Linked DNA regions of Drosophila melanogaster. The protein of the gene in region 1 purifies or fractionates together with the protein of each later gene. This does not show direct contact. Each region holds a gene or a part of one and is shown in the gene's direction. Other genes may lie near its edges.

What was found.
Region 2: the proteins of Uxs (region 1) and CG34205 purify together in Drosophila melanogaster (affinity purification with mass spectrometry, with the first as the bait; one large-scale study listed by BioGRID). This does not show direct contact.

The regions. Positions count from the first base shown.
Region 1 is NT_037436.4:8,177,456-8,185,271, forward strand, and holds Uxs (UDP-xylose synthase), read left to right. Parts: upstream 1-3,467; 5' UTR 3,468-3,585; coding exon 3,586-4,228; intron 4,229-4,295; coding exon 4,296-4,477; intron 4,478-4,764; coding exon 4,765-5,265; 3' UTR 5,266-5,914; downstream 5,915-7,816. Other genes in the region: Nmt (N-myristoyl transferase), read right to left, coding at 1-184, 668-872; mthl7 (methuselah-like 7), read right to left, coding at 1,221-1,419, 1,483-1,657, 1,722-1,973, 2,035-2,211, 2,387-3,059; ERR (estrogen-related receptor), read right to left, coding at 6,064-6,972, 7,029-7,587.
Region 2 is NT_033778.4:22,128,199-22,134,795, reverse strand, and holds CG34205 (uncharacterized protein), read left to right. Parts: upstream 1-3,496; 5' UTR 3,497-3,585; coding exon 3,586-3,663; intron 3,664-3,828; coding exon 3,829-4,152; intron 4,153-4,215; coding exon 4,216-4,467; 3' UTR 4,468-4,682; downstream 4,683-6,597. Other genes in the region: NtR, read right to left, coding at 4,683-4,805, 4,866-5,032, 5,105-5,245, 5,311-5,842, 5,915-6,102, 6,171-6,323, 6,383-6,514.

The DNA.
Region 1 (7,816 bases):
CCTGGCAGAGTGTATGGCAATGCTCTAATCTCACTAATTTCCTTGTTCGGTTCAATGCATTCGTTGGTGGTCACCTGCTCGTCCAGCTTGGTGACTGGCTGTGTGGACCAAAATGCAAACTTCTTGGCCATCTGACGGGTGCTGGCCATAGCATCGGAAACGGCTTGTAGCAAGGCCTGTTTGCCTGAAAGAAACGATGATGCGTTGAATAGTATTATAACATTTTTCGATTAGTTTAAACTGGAATGACTAATCTGCCCCAAAAAAAGCTTAAGGCATCACGACAGTGGACTAGTTTCCCATGACAACAAATTTGCCCAATTTTGGGGTTTCAATGAAGCATCAATCAATGGAATCAACAAGGTAGAAATCTTATATTACACATATTTTATTCGTAATAAAAAACTCAATTGTATCTATGTAAGTATATTCATATTTCATCAAAATCAAATATGTATTTATGATTTATGAGTTGTTTATTTTTCCGTTAGGGCTAATCTTTGGAGTAATTGCACAGAAAATGAAAATTGAAAATTGAATTGAAATGAATAGCACAGCAGTTCAAGTTAGAGAGGTTGGACTGTAGTTCCCGACAAAACCTAACCTCATTTTTTCAGCCGCAGGAGGAGCCTCTAAATGACTTTTCACAGGCATATTGAAAACTTACTTGCATTCGCAGACACTGAAGCCTCATTCTTGGCACCATCAGGCTGCTCCGCATCCTCGTTTCCTGCTGCATTCGTCGATGCCGTGTCCTGGATATTTAAGCCGGCAACAACCTTTTCGAGCATTGCCTCCGATGCGTCGGCCACCTCCTTGGCCTTCTGCTTTAGCTCTTGACCCGAGAGGTCCTCTGCGTTTTCGTTCGGCATATTTTGCACTGTATTTCTTTTTGAACAGTAAAGCAAATTAAAATTGCAATGAAATCGCAAAACTACAAGCAGAGCAGCTGATTTTTTTGGCGATACCTATCGATGTTTTTTAAAGAATCGAAAGTGGCTGGAGAATCAGTGTTACCAGAGGGTGGCGAAGTGAAAAGCTTGTCGCGGTGACCTCTTGGCAGTTTAAAGTACATCGTTTTCTAAAACTATATTTATTTATTGAGTTCAATAAAATTCAATTCAATTCCTTCGTTCAGCAAAGGATATTAATAAAATGAGGGGCTTTAATTGTTTAAAGCTTTAATTGTAAACAATTATTAGAATTATATAGAAACAAGCTTAAGAATCCATCATTAGAGTCCATGTGCTGCGCTTCAGGACGAGCAGAACGAACAAAACAATTCCAAACGCGCTGTGAAAATACTCGGATATTATCCCGACCCATTCCCAGAAAATGTGGAGCCGTGCAGAATACGGAATGACATTGAATATCCAAGTAAGGCCCATCACGATGGAGAGCCGCAGGAACTGTAGGTAACTATGTGGATAATACGGCAAGGATAACTAGTTTACCAAGGTCCAAGGTTTTATCATATCTTACGTCTGGCTGTCAAAGTTTATGCAGTTAATCCTTCCCTCCTCCTCATTTGTGAACTTATTTATACCCCCCTTCACTTTCCTAATGTAAATGGCTGTCAGGGCGAACATGGCGACATTGAAAGTGCTCAGGGCCAGCGACGGTCCACTTATATAGATCCAGACGGATGGGTGCCAATCTGATATGGAAAAGCAATACGTAACCATGGTAACGATTTAAAAGCAATCGCATTGAAAGTTTACCTTTGACCGAGCACCGAATAAAACCGACCAGAGGCAACCAGTTCCATTTACTGGGATCGTTTTCCCAAATCTGATTAACTATATAAATACTTCCCGTCATGATTGCGGCTGTGCTCCAGACGAAGGCGTTGTACCGCAGGAACCGATAGTTAGGGTCGACTCGATTGAGCGACGTCAAGACTTTCCACGTATGGTAGCTGATGACGGAGAGCCAGAGGTTGGAAGCCATCCGGAAAAAGTGCGAGCTGTAACCTGCAAGAAGTCAACGATATAACATTTAAAGCTTCCAGAGATATCTCCAATTCGAACTAACCAGCTGGAGAGCAAATGCCATTCAATAGATTTAAATGATCTAGTATCATGATCAAGCACTGGATAAACCTCGAAACTATACAGCATACAATGCACTTGCCAGTAACATTTCGCAGCTTCTTAATGTATAGATATACTGCGATTGTTAGGACAAAGCATATCATTGTTATAATTAGAACTGAAAAAGAAAATATAAGAAATAAAAAACCAGCTTATTGTAATTAAAAAACTTGCAAAGGGCACACAGAATGCAGTCAGCAGTTTGCACACCAATAAGGAGTTATTTTCGTTTCTTTCTATATAGCTATGAAAACGATATTGATGACTTTTGTTATAAATAATAATTGAATTACTCTCTAAGGATCCAGGAGATATGTGGCTTGTGCAGCGGTGTCGTATTATCCACATGGACTTTGGAAAATCCGAATCAAAGTTGTGCCGGTACAAGCAGTAGTCCTGTTTTTCCATGAAGAGGTCAACGGTAACCCAAAATTTTCCATCCTGGAACCAAACTATAAGTCCACATTTATTGAAGATTTGAATGCTAACCTCTTCTAAGAAATAGTTAAAGTCGCTGATGTAAATCATTTCATCACAATCAAAGAACTCATCTCTGATAATAGCCATATCGGTGAGTGGTACTCGTGCCTGTAGGTCCATGTATGTGAAGTATATATAGGGTTTGAACCGGGCGAGCTCCTCTTTGAGACCATCATCGCATTTTCCGTTGGCCAAAAAGTTCTTGGCTGGGCAGCAGATTCGAATACAGGGCCGCACGCTGCAAACACAGGCCCTTAAATGCTTTTCAATCGGCGTAATCGAACCGTCCCCAAACTGCCTGAACTCGTAGTATCCAGTTAAGCTAGCAGGAATTTCGATGTCATCATATAAATACGAATCGTTTTGCCTTTCAATGTATGAGATATCAACCGTGTCGTAGTAGTTGCACCCGGGAATATCTGCATTTGAGTTGTTCGTAAAAATTAAAAGCAGAACTGTACAGAAAATCACCCAAGGAAGCCTCATGCTGAGCACTACAACACTTGGCACTAAGAACTTTGCCCGACTGGCGATCGATGCTCATCGTTGGCAGTTTAAATAGCCTTCAATAGCCGTTTGGGCAAACACTTTATTCGGAAAGTAGTCCCTGCTGACCAGCCTAAGAAAGCCCTCAAACAAATTTAGTTTTCAAACTCATTTTTTGGCAATTTCCGACCTTTTATCGTTAAAACGAAAAATATTCGTCCCTGGGGAAGATCACCAACAAAAATGTCTAATTCATTATCAATTCATTATAATTTATAATCCAAAATCAAAATGTTCGCCTGTCGATACTTTTGATGTAAATTTTAAAATTAGGCGGGAGCTTTTCCCTGGCGTTAGATTATTAATCCATTTAGAAATTCCGTTTGAGCCATCTGGCCACTCTGGCACCTCCTGATAACGCAATTGTATTGTTTATATAGTTTCTAAAGCCGAACGAGAATGCAATGTGGCGATATCAGTTGCTGATAAGCACTGGAACCCTGCAGTACACAACCCATAACCGACGATGACTGCCACCAAAAAGCGTCTGAAGATCGTTGCAGCCATCTCGCTGCTCCTCCTGCTCCTGGTCTACCTTTACCGAATGGCCAGCTTCTGCCCAAGCGGAAAGGTCGCCGTTTCCGTTCCCGGCGTCGAGGAGGTTCAGGCCAAATGGCCGCCCACGGAAAGTCCGCTACAAAGGAGCCTTCAGATGGCGTACGAGGAGCAGAGCTCTCTTATTCGAGAACAAAAGGCCGAACTCCAGCGCACAAGGGAGAATTTGGCCAGATTGGAGGAACAAGTTCGTAGCCTCCAGACCAGCACACCGCGCAAGTATCCGAAGGTTAAATACCTGAACTATAAGAATCGCAAACGCATACTAATTACCGGAGGAGCTGGCTTCGTGGGCTCCCACTTGGTCGACGATCTGATGGTCCAGGGGCACGAGGTCATCGTGGTGGACAATTTCTTTACGGGACGCAAGCGAAATGTCGAGCACTGGCTGGGGCACGAGAACTTCGAGCTCATCCACCACGACATAGTGAATCCGCTTTTCATCGAGATCGATGAGATCTACCACTTGGCATCGCCAGCCTCGCCACCGCATTACATGTACAATCCGGTGAAGACCATCAAGACCAACACCATGGGCACGATCAATGTACTGGGTAAATATTTATAATATCAATCAAAGAAAATAAGGATTACACCTAACGAGTATATCTTTTTTGAAAGGTCTGGCCAAGCGCGTGATGGCCAAGGTTTTGATAGCTAGCACTTCGGAAGTGTACGGCGATCCCACAGTGCATCCGCAGCCAGAAACATACTGGGGACATGTAAACCCTATTGGACCGAGAGCCTGTTATGACGAGGGAAAGCGTGTCTCCGAGACGCTGAGCTATGCGTATGCCAAACAGGTAATACCTTTAGCAATATATATACTTTTTTGGATAACCACATTCCTAAGCCAGATCGAAAAAAAAACATTAAACTAGCTGAGATCCAGAAATGTGGCAGATTTTTCCTGTTTCGATCGCTAGTTGAGCATTAAATGATCTCAATTGGAATGCTATTAATTGATGTTCCGCTCGGTTGGCTGACGCGAGATAAGATTTCCAAGCGCGAGCACTGACCACATTTTTTGATCTTGGCCAGCAATCTGGGAGTCAAATTAATTGCTCTTTAAATGTATCTGTATCGACAGGAGAAAGTGCAAGTCCGAGTGGCGCGCATCTTTAACACTTATGGACCGAGAATGCATATGAACGATGGACGAGTGGTGTCAAACTTTATACTTCAGGCGCTGAGGAATGAAACCATTACGGTGTATGGAAATGGCAAACAAACGCGCTCCTTTCAGTATGTTTCGGATCTGGTGGACGGAATGATAGCCCTAATGGCATCCAACTACACACAGCCGGTGAATTTAGGCAATCCTGTGGAGCAGACAATCGGCGAATTTGCCGAGATCATCAAGAAACTGGTCGGCGGGCCCAGTGTGATAAAGCAATCGAAGGCCATGGAAGATGATCCGCAGCGCAGAAAACCGGACATAACTCGAGCCCGCCAGTTGCTCCATTGGGAGCCAAAGGTTCCCCTAGAGACTGGACTTCAGCGGACCATCTCCTACTTCCGCAACGAATTGGCGCGTAGCGATCGCTTTCAGGAAAGCTCCAACAAGTACTTTGATACACATACACCGTAGAATTAATTGGGCTTAGCTCTAATTGGTGATGATGGAACGTCTCTAGTCTGCAAATGTAAATATGACCATCGTTAGCACTAATTGTAAGCCCTCAAGGACCACAGAATACCTTTGTCATGGTTAATTTTTTGAAGTTTTGCGATATATCAGCCTATGTATGGATTAGGAAATAGTGATGTATAAATGCGATCAAATGCACTGAATTCTAGAAAACTAATTTGAATTTGTTTAGGAAAAGAAAATCCCCAAAGAATACAGAACTTAGGGAGTATGGAAACAACAGTTACAAACGGTTTATTATTCACGGACGACATTGCTATTCTTTTGACCGCATGTGTACCACATAGACACAGAATCACTGGGTTACATGACACTTAGAAACAGTATAATCCATTGTATTGTAGAACCACTATCGTATTTTAAAAGTGCCCACAAATTCATACGTTACATCAGAAGGTTGCGGCATATACATATATCAGAACCAGTGAGAATTGAACAAATTATTGAAGATCTGTGACTCACAACTTTAGACACATAACACCTATATGCGCCTTTAACCAGTGTAAGCACACCCCGATTCTAGAAGATAAGTAGGGTTTTCCAGTTGCTGTAGTTGGTAGTCCATTAAAAGAGATTTTTTCTGCGAACTAATCTTACCCGACAAGTATTTTACTATTTATATACATGGCTTATCCTACGCTTAATCTACTCTAGTATACATCCATATATACCTAAGACTATATTTGCACCTTTGCTTATCAGCTAGATCAACTAGTTTGGGCGCCCGCATAATCCTTTTCACCTGGCCAGCGGCTCGAGCATCTCGAGGAACAGTTTCTTCATGGTAATGACTTCATCGCGTGCAATTCCACGCCAAAATCTTCGCAGGATATCATCCGCCTGCCGCAGCGAAGGCAGCAAAAGCAGCAATTGTTGCTGATGCGACACGGCCGACGAATGACGCAGCAAGTAGACCACATCGTTTAGAGAATTAAGAATCGTATCACGAAATGCGCGCAGGGAACTCTGATCATCCAGCAGAATGTCGCAGTTGGCCAGCAGGAGCGCCTTTAGCAAGTAGTACTCCTCCCTTCGTGGCGATATTCTTTCCATGCGCTGTGCGATCTGGACGCAGTGGTAGTAGAACTCCGTGTAACCGCACTCCTTGGCCAAATGTTCATCCATCCAGACATCCGTGGCGAAGCATAACTTGCCATTGAACGGTAGGGACCGGAAGGTCAGCTGGAGCGTCAGGATCTCTGCCCACGACACCTGGAGAAGCTTCATCTGGTCGTTAAGTGGCAGATCTATAAAGCCAGGTATCTGCTTGGCCCAGCCAATGACGCTGACCAATTCCTTGTCGTAAATATCACTAAGGACGCTTAGTATCTCATTGGGATCATTGTTGTTGTTGTTTTGGAAAATGCAAGTCCCATTGGGCGTAACAACGCTGGACTCCAGTTTTATGCTGCCCGAGGAGGATGAGGCCTCATCATTAGTTATGCTAGTCGTGTGGACTTGCGGCGGCGGCGTTTGGACGCTCAAGGCATCCGGCTCATATGAATTGAGCACCTCCAGTATCTTGACATCGCACAGCGAGGTGGTGTTGGATTGGTATAGCAGCTGCATAGTCTGGTAAGAGTTTGATACAGGATTCCTTCGGTACTTCTGCCGTCCTCCACGAACTCGATCCAAGCGCACACCCTCCTGAAAAGTTAAAGCGATTAGAGTTTAGGAACTTTAACTCGGGACTATGAAATTACCTTGAGCATGCCCATTAGTAGACATTTCTGGAAGCGACACGCTTGGCAGGCCTTGCGTCTCCGCTTGTTAATCTCACACTCGTTGTTCGCCGGACACGTGTACTCGATGTTGCCTTGGATGGTGCGTTTAAAGAACGCTTTGCAAGCCTCACAACTCGCCACACCATAGTGGAATCCACTGGCCACATCGCCACAAACCAAACACAATCGGCGGAGCTCGTCCCTGACGGATCCCGATCCAGCTCCGGCACTCGCATTGGTCGCATTTCCACCACTCGTACCACCACCTCCTCCTCCGCCATTGCCGCCACTTGTACCACTTCCTTTCAGACTATCGCCATCATTGCTTAAGGATACATTGTGCAAATCGCAGGATAGAGAGGTCGTCGAGCTGCAGAGCTGCCTTTCCGGCGAAACCGAGGGCGAGGATTTCAGGCCGTTTGTGCCACTCTGCGTGGCCGTTGACTTGGAGCTGGGACTAAAGCAGGACGCCGATGGAGTGTCCACCTCCTGTTTGATGTGCAAGATGCTGACGCCGTCGGACATGTTCGTGCCTTGGCTGGGTGAGAAAAAAAGAGTTGCGGATAAAATAAGAAATATGTTTCAACAAGTTAAAGCCTTTGATTTGAACTTCAAGAAAATGATTGATTAGATAGAGGACTCGAGATACAAGGTTTAGGATAAACGATATGGTACGATATGAGGATCAACCCAAAATGCGGAGAGAAATGAACAAGTAAAGAGTTGAAATGTGGGAAAAACGTTCAATTTCGCCAAATCACCGCGAT
Region 2 (6,597 bases), on another chromosome or scaffold:
TTATGGCCATTAAAGCTGCTTGGGGTTTTAAGTTATTAGGCAACTTGAATTTCAAACTGCACTTGACAAACGCACAAATAAAGAAAAACAATCTTAAATGCGCAGTCAGTCACACAACTGCAGTGGACTTAATCAGTTAATAATCTAGGCTTAAAGGTTGATTTAATCACGGCTAAACTGGAAAAGGGGAGCAATCCTCAACAAACCGTGTTTAAAATTGGATTTAAGGTCAGTGTTCAGCGAAGTCCAATCCATCCATCCCACAAACATACATAGGTATTCCACCCACTTGCTCACCTGTTGAATTTCAAGGGGAGCATTTAACCCCTTTAAATCGCCGACACCCCAATGCTGTGGTTCGTGCATTGCTCATACGTCATTAACTTCAGTGACTTTGATCTATATTTATTTGAGTCTCTGGGTCTTTTTCTATGGAAACGTAGCGAAGGGCAATCGATTGAAGAAAAAAGAGTTGTATTGAATGATAAACTTGAATTGCTCATTCAATAGGATTCCATTCCATGTCGATGTTGAATGTTTTATATACATTTTTTAAAAAGGTTATATATACTACTATAAATCTAGCCAACAATATTATATTTTTTTTTGCAAATGTTAACTTATATTTCAAAACAAAGTTTGTAATACAAGTAAATTACATAAAACATAAAATATACATGACAGCTATCTACGTCCGCTGTCCTAAGCTACGCCATCTGTTGGTCATGAAAATTGAGCAGAACATCTGTTAGATGGCGCCACTAAGCCAAGCTTATCTTTAAGCTAAGACAGCGAAAAAGCTAGTTTTAAATTTAAGCTTACATCAAACCCGTTTCACCTTAGCGCAAACATTAAGAGCATTTTAAATTTAAATATTTTGTATTTTATTAAATATTATTTATTAATCACGCCATTTAACATACACAAATATCCATAGACAGGATCGTTATAGCCCGTTTTCCTCTATTTAATCAGCCCACTTTATCTGGACCATTACCATGGCAATAATCATTTCACAACCGACCGCCTCGACGCAGTCATCCCATAAATACACCACTTACCACCAATTCCTGTTGACGAAAAACAAACAAGAAGGCGACAAAATGGCCAGCAGTCTATGGAGTAGAAACAGTCATTGATTTGCAGTCAGTTGGGATTGCTAAATGCAAAATGGACTCGGAATACACAAAGAAAAAAATTAATTCATTTACAAGACCTCCAAATATGTATATATATATCATCACATGGAATTTTTCTGCTAGCTTAAAATATTATCCAAATTGTAATCGATTTTTAAGGGAATCATACATTTGAAAACAAATTCATCAAAGTTGGTGCGGTGCATTTCAAAAACTTCCAGTCACGTCAGCAGCGAGGCTCTAAGTTTGTCAGCTCCCAAAAGCTGAACTCCAAATCCATTTCCATGTCCACCACGATTCATTCATTAATTCAGGCAAAGCGTCATAAATGCCACGCGGTTTTTATTTGGTTTTTCAGGCTGGTTGATTTCGTCGTTTGTTTTTGATTTAATTAAGCGGCGCTTTTCCATTTTGCAATGTTTTTCTTGGCCGTTCCGCGAAGCATTTGCAAGTCAAATGCAGCGGCGTTAATTAATTGAATGGATCGAAAAATAACGCATACGCAGCGTGCGCCGCGAAGAATTCTGCGCTTGCGATCCATTGGGCAATCGCTTTGAATTCTCTCATCCATTCTGTGGCCAGTGGCTAATTAGGCCCGTCATCCAAAATTCGCGGCATTTTGCACCCATTTTGGAGCACACGCCGCCCGATCGCCAAATCCAAATGCGGCTAAAGACTCGCCTCTCGATCGAAGCCATAAAAACCAAGACGAGGATCGATCGGCTGATCGCCTTAAATCGTCATTTAGTATGTGGCAATTTGGCATTCGAGTTTGCCACCCTTCTGATCCACCGACCGATTGCTGGAAAATTGCTTTCCACCTGGCCAAAATGTGGGGCAGTGGCTGGGAAATCTTTTATTTATGAGGACCGGCGACACACCGACCACAACACACAACACCGATCTGTCCGCATCTGTCCGGATCGAATTGGACATGGAACACTTGTTTGGCAGTCGCCGACCACTGGCAACAATTGCTCCTATTGACTTAATATTTGCTAATAGAATTCACATAAATCACATTCCACTGGCATGCATGATTTATGCATGAACTGCGATCGCAGGTGACTCTCTGTCTCTTTTGCGGCGTTTCGTGCTGTCCTTTTCTCATTGTGCTAAGTTTTTTTTCGAGTTTTTTTTACGAGATTTCGGCGTTGAAGTGGTGTTTTCGAGACCTCTTGAGAGGAACTCCACTGAAGTGCTGCAAGTTGCATGCGCTAATCTGAGACATTATGTGCTTTCCAAACTTTAGTTTCTTAACCCTAATATATAAAGCAAGTATTTAAACACGGACTACCTTATTGTCTCAAAAAGTTATGTAAAGTCCACAAAAATATAAATCATTTAAGAAATGAATATATACACCATATCTATACTTAAAGCGAATAAGTGATATAATGATTACTTGAGACACTATTAATCCGTGATAAGGATCACGACGAGCATTCTCAACAATTTGTAGCATTATTAATTTTGTGATGACCCAATGTCACACCTCCGTACCCCCGCACATCCCGTGGGGTTAATCAAGTCGGCCATAAAAAATCCCACGAACTGCCAGATGCTGAACCGGCAATTTCAGCCGGCAAAGTCGATGGATCGATGGCGAGTTGAAGCTGGAGCTGGAGCTGGCGAACTGGGGCCTCCACTCGATCCAAACCCCCTCGCCACGCACGAGTGTCCTCGAGACGAGACGGCGTGGCTGCGGCTGAAATCACCCATCCAATATGGTCAAATGTGGCACGCAGCGGCATTCGAGGCACGATAAAGATAAATATGAAGCTCGCCTAGATATTTCGGCCAGAGGGGATTGCTGCTTGGTGTTTGGTTTTGGCGTTTGCCGATTTGGCAAGCGTTCATTATGCAATTTGGAGAGAATTTCCCAGCGCCACGCCGAGAATTGTTTCGAGAATACTCAAACATAGCAACGAAAACAATTAGACGGCATTCTACGTTGGCTAATTAAGTTGTTAGTGGCAAGGCTGCGTGCTTTCGAGGGGCGTGTCACCTGGCGCGTTGCCCAAATTGGCCAGCTAATCAGCGATTTCAATTAGCGTGCGCTTTCCAAATGCGAGCCACAATGGCACCCCCAGTGTAAAGACCGCCTTTCCTGCGGCGACTCCTTAGCCGGCAAGTGGTCTGCCTTCGGTTCGGAGCTCCCAACTCCCAGCTCCAGTTCAGGTTGCGTCATCCGCGTTTGGGGGCTCTCCAATCCGAGCTGCGTCTACGAGAATTGCAGTTTCACTGCAGCCGAGATACTTCACAAATTGGTGCTGCTTGGCCCGCTTTGTTGACTGCTGTCTGCTGACTGTTTGTCCGTCCGAGGCTCAGATCGAAATCTAGTCAAGATCTGTCCGCTCGACCACCTGTCCTCCGGTCCGCAGTTCGCAGTCCGCTCGAGAGTGCGAGTGCGTGGTCTGCCGTCGAGGGGTATAAAAGTAACGCAATGCACACGTCCACTTACAGTTGCAATTCTCCCTCCAAGCCAAGTGATTCGTTATCCAGCGCTAGCATGAAACTTCTGGTGAGTGGAAAGGGTTGGAAAGGATGCGGCCTAGGATCAGTATTATCACTTTAAGCCAATAATACTGACTGCAAAGGATATCTTCATACAAGGATTACCTCGATCTTATATTCACTAGATCAAAAAGATTAACATCAAAGTTTGGTTTTCCATTTACCTCGCCAGATCCTTACCTCTCTGCTGGCTGTGGCCACTGCTGCTCCTGGACTCCTTGATTATGGACACTCGGCTCCGGACTACAGCTACGCCCATGCCGCTCCTGCCATAACATATGCAGCTGCAGCTCCAGTCATCAAGTCCTACGCTGCCCCAGCCATCACCTATGCGGCTCCAGCTCCGGTGATCAAGTCCTATGCCGCTCCAGCCATCAGCTACGCCCATGCCGCTCCTGCCATCAGCTACGCCGCTCCCACGGTGGTCAAGTCCTATGCTGCTCCTGTGGCGGTCAAGGTGGCAGCTCCAGCCACCAGCTACTCGCACTTCAGCTCGGTAAGATCTGGATATACTCTGATATTTTCCCATTTAATCTTACAATCTACTTTGCATGCACAGGTTGTTTCCCATGCCACGCCCATTGTTAAGTCGTACGCTGCGCCTGCCATCGCCTATGCTGCTCCAGCTCCGGTGATCAAGTCCTATGCCGCTCCAGCCATCAGTTACGCCCATGCCGCTCCAGCCATCAGCTACGCTGCTCCCACGGTGGTCAAGTCATATGCGGCTCCAGCCATCAGCTACGCAGCTCCTGCCCTGGTTAAGTCATACGCTGCACCTGCCCTGTCCCTGGGTGGATACGGTTACCACTAAGCTCCGATACCAAAACACTCCAAATCCAAATCGATCCCGGATCGGAGTTGGAACAATGGCAGCAATTAACTGCGAGGAGTCGCAACAGCCCAGCACGCTCTCCCACTTTTTCAACTTGTAGTCGCAAAATCTTCACAATCTTCTCTGTTTACTTCTTATTTATTTAAGAACCATTAATATTCTCTCAAATGCACAATAAAGAAAAATTCTGTTTTTCAAAACCCACTCGTAATATCTACGATGGCAAAGGTTATAATGACCAAGATTGAACTCAGGTTGTTCAGGATCTTGGCCATATGGTGCCAGGGATTCTCCTGAATGTCGCAATAGTCGGTAGACTGTAGGAATATAGTGAATTGCAATACGTATATGTGTTCAATAGGGGCTTAACTACTCACATCCGAAAATCTCAATCCCAGAATGCATCGCAGAACATTGGAGTTAATCACCCTAACCAGCCAGCCAGGAGCCTTCGATCTGGGTGGATATAGATCCAGCCATATAATGCAGATGTGCAGAATGTAGCAATAGGTGGTGGTCATCATGATGACTTTATATGCAGTCACTGTAGGAAAAGTGAAAATTTGAATTTGAAAATTATACACAGTGAGTTTTAGTTAATTGATTTAAAACTTACTCATGGGCGGCACATAATGCGGAGAGGCGTAGCGCGTCATGTACATTAAACCCCAGGCGGCAATCAGCAAGGCGATGAGAATGAGGGAACTCCTACGAGTAGAACGCAGTACAAAGGACAAAATCAGGAACATCTGGCAGGCTGAAAGAATATATTGTAGTTATATGTTATTCCATAACAAGAAATCAAACACATTTTCATATTACCAATCAACGGCAAATAGAAGACGGTCATGTAGAAGCTCCGATTCCTTTGCAGCGTGAACTCAATTGCCACATCGCCGGTCATTTTCTGCATCATTCCCTTGGGGTTGTATCGCCTTTGCGAATCGTTCTCCACCAGCACCACGGACATTTGCGTGAACGACCAGCCGGATGGCGTGTTCACGTGCTCATTGGGCGCAATCGGCTTGCGCTGATCATCGTAGATTAGCGCCACATTCTCCTGCCCCTCCTGGCCATTGAGACCCAGCTCGATGTCGCAAGTCACTCGCTCGCTTGGCCAGTTTCGGGCACTGTCCACACACCAACTGGCCAGCTGGAGGTTTTGAGCGTACAGGGTGATGCTTCCGTTGGCGTAGACCATCAGCTCATAGGATTGGAGGACCTGACCCATGGATTGCAGGGCGCCGTTGAGGACGTTCATATGCGGCTTCCATATACGAAGGTCAGGATGTTCGAAAGATTCCAGCGAGCCGAAGTCCTCGGGTTTCCAGACAAGACGACTATCCCTCCAGTGCTGCATGGATAGGCGAATGTATCTTTACTGTTTCACACTAAATATTTGCATTTCGAGCTTATCTTTCATTACCATCATCATGTGCATGCGGGTCTGAAGCAAGGAACTGGTTTGCTCGTAGGCGAGGGAGCGCGTTTGGAAGTGGAACGATATGGAGCTGAGATTAGCCGGCATGCTTGCATTTTCCGCCTGGATATTCAGATGGCTTAGCAGTTTTTCCGTCTTCGTTTCCTCCTTCACTATCGGTGCAATTTCCGACCCTGAAATGGGTCAGTTTTAGAACATACTTACAGATATAGACTTATAGCTTACTATATATCATCCTTACCATAACCATCGAAGCCACAGTCGTAAAACCACCGCGCCGTATTGGAACCAAAGGAGCTGAAACTCAGATAGTTGATGACCAGCGGTGCTTCATCGATGAACTGCAGCAGGGGCTCCTTCTTGAAGCCGGGTATGTAAACAAACAGCTCGCCATCTGGAAATATACTGTGCGTTGGAGGGGCAGGGAATACCCGATAAGATGGGGGAACTCACTCTGGTTTTGGACAATCTCAATTGGCGTCGGGTCGTACAGCGATACCAAGTTCGGCTCTTGATTCGTGGCCACCCGCCTCATTCCCATAGCATTCCGGATTGCGGAAAACGTATTTCCGCCGGCTCCTATCACTGCAAGCGGAATAAAGATATCAATTGAATATTTAGGTAGGGTTCCACTAGAAAGAGCTCATTGAAATGCTGGAATTAAAACT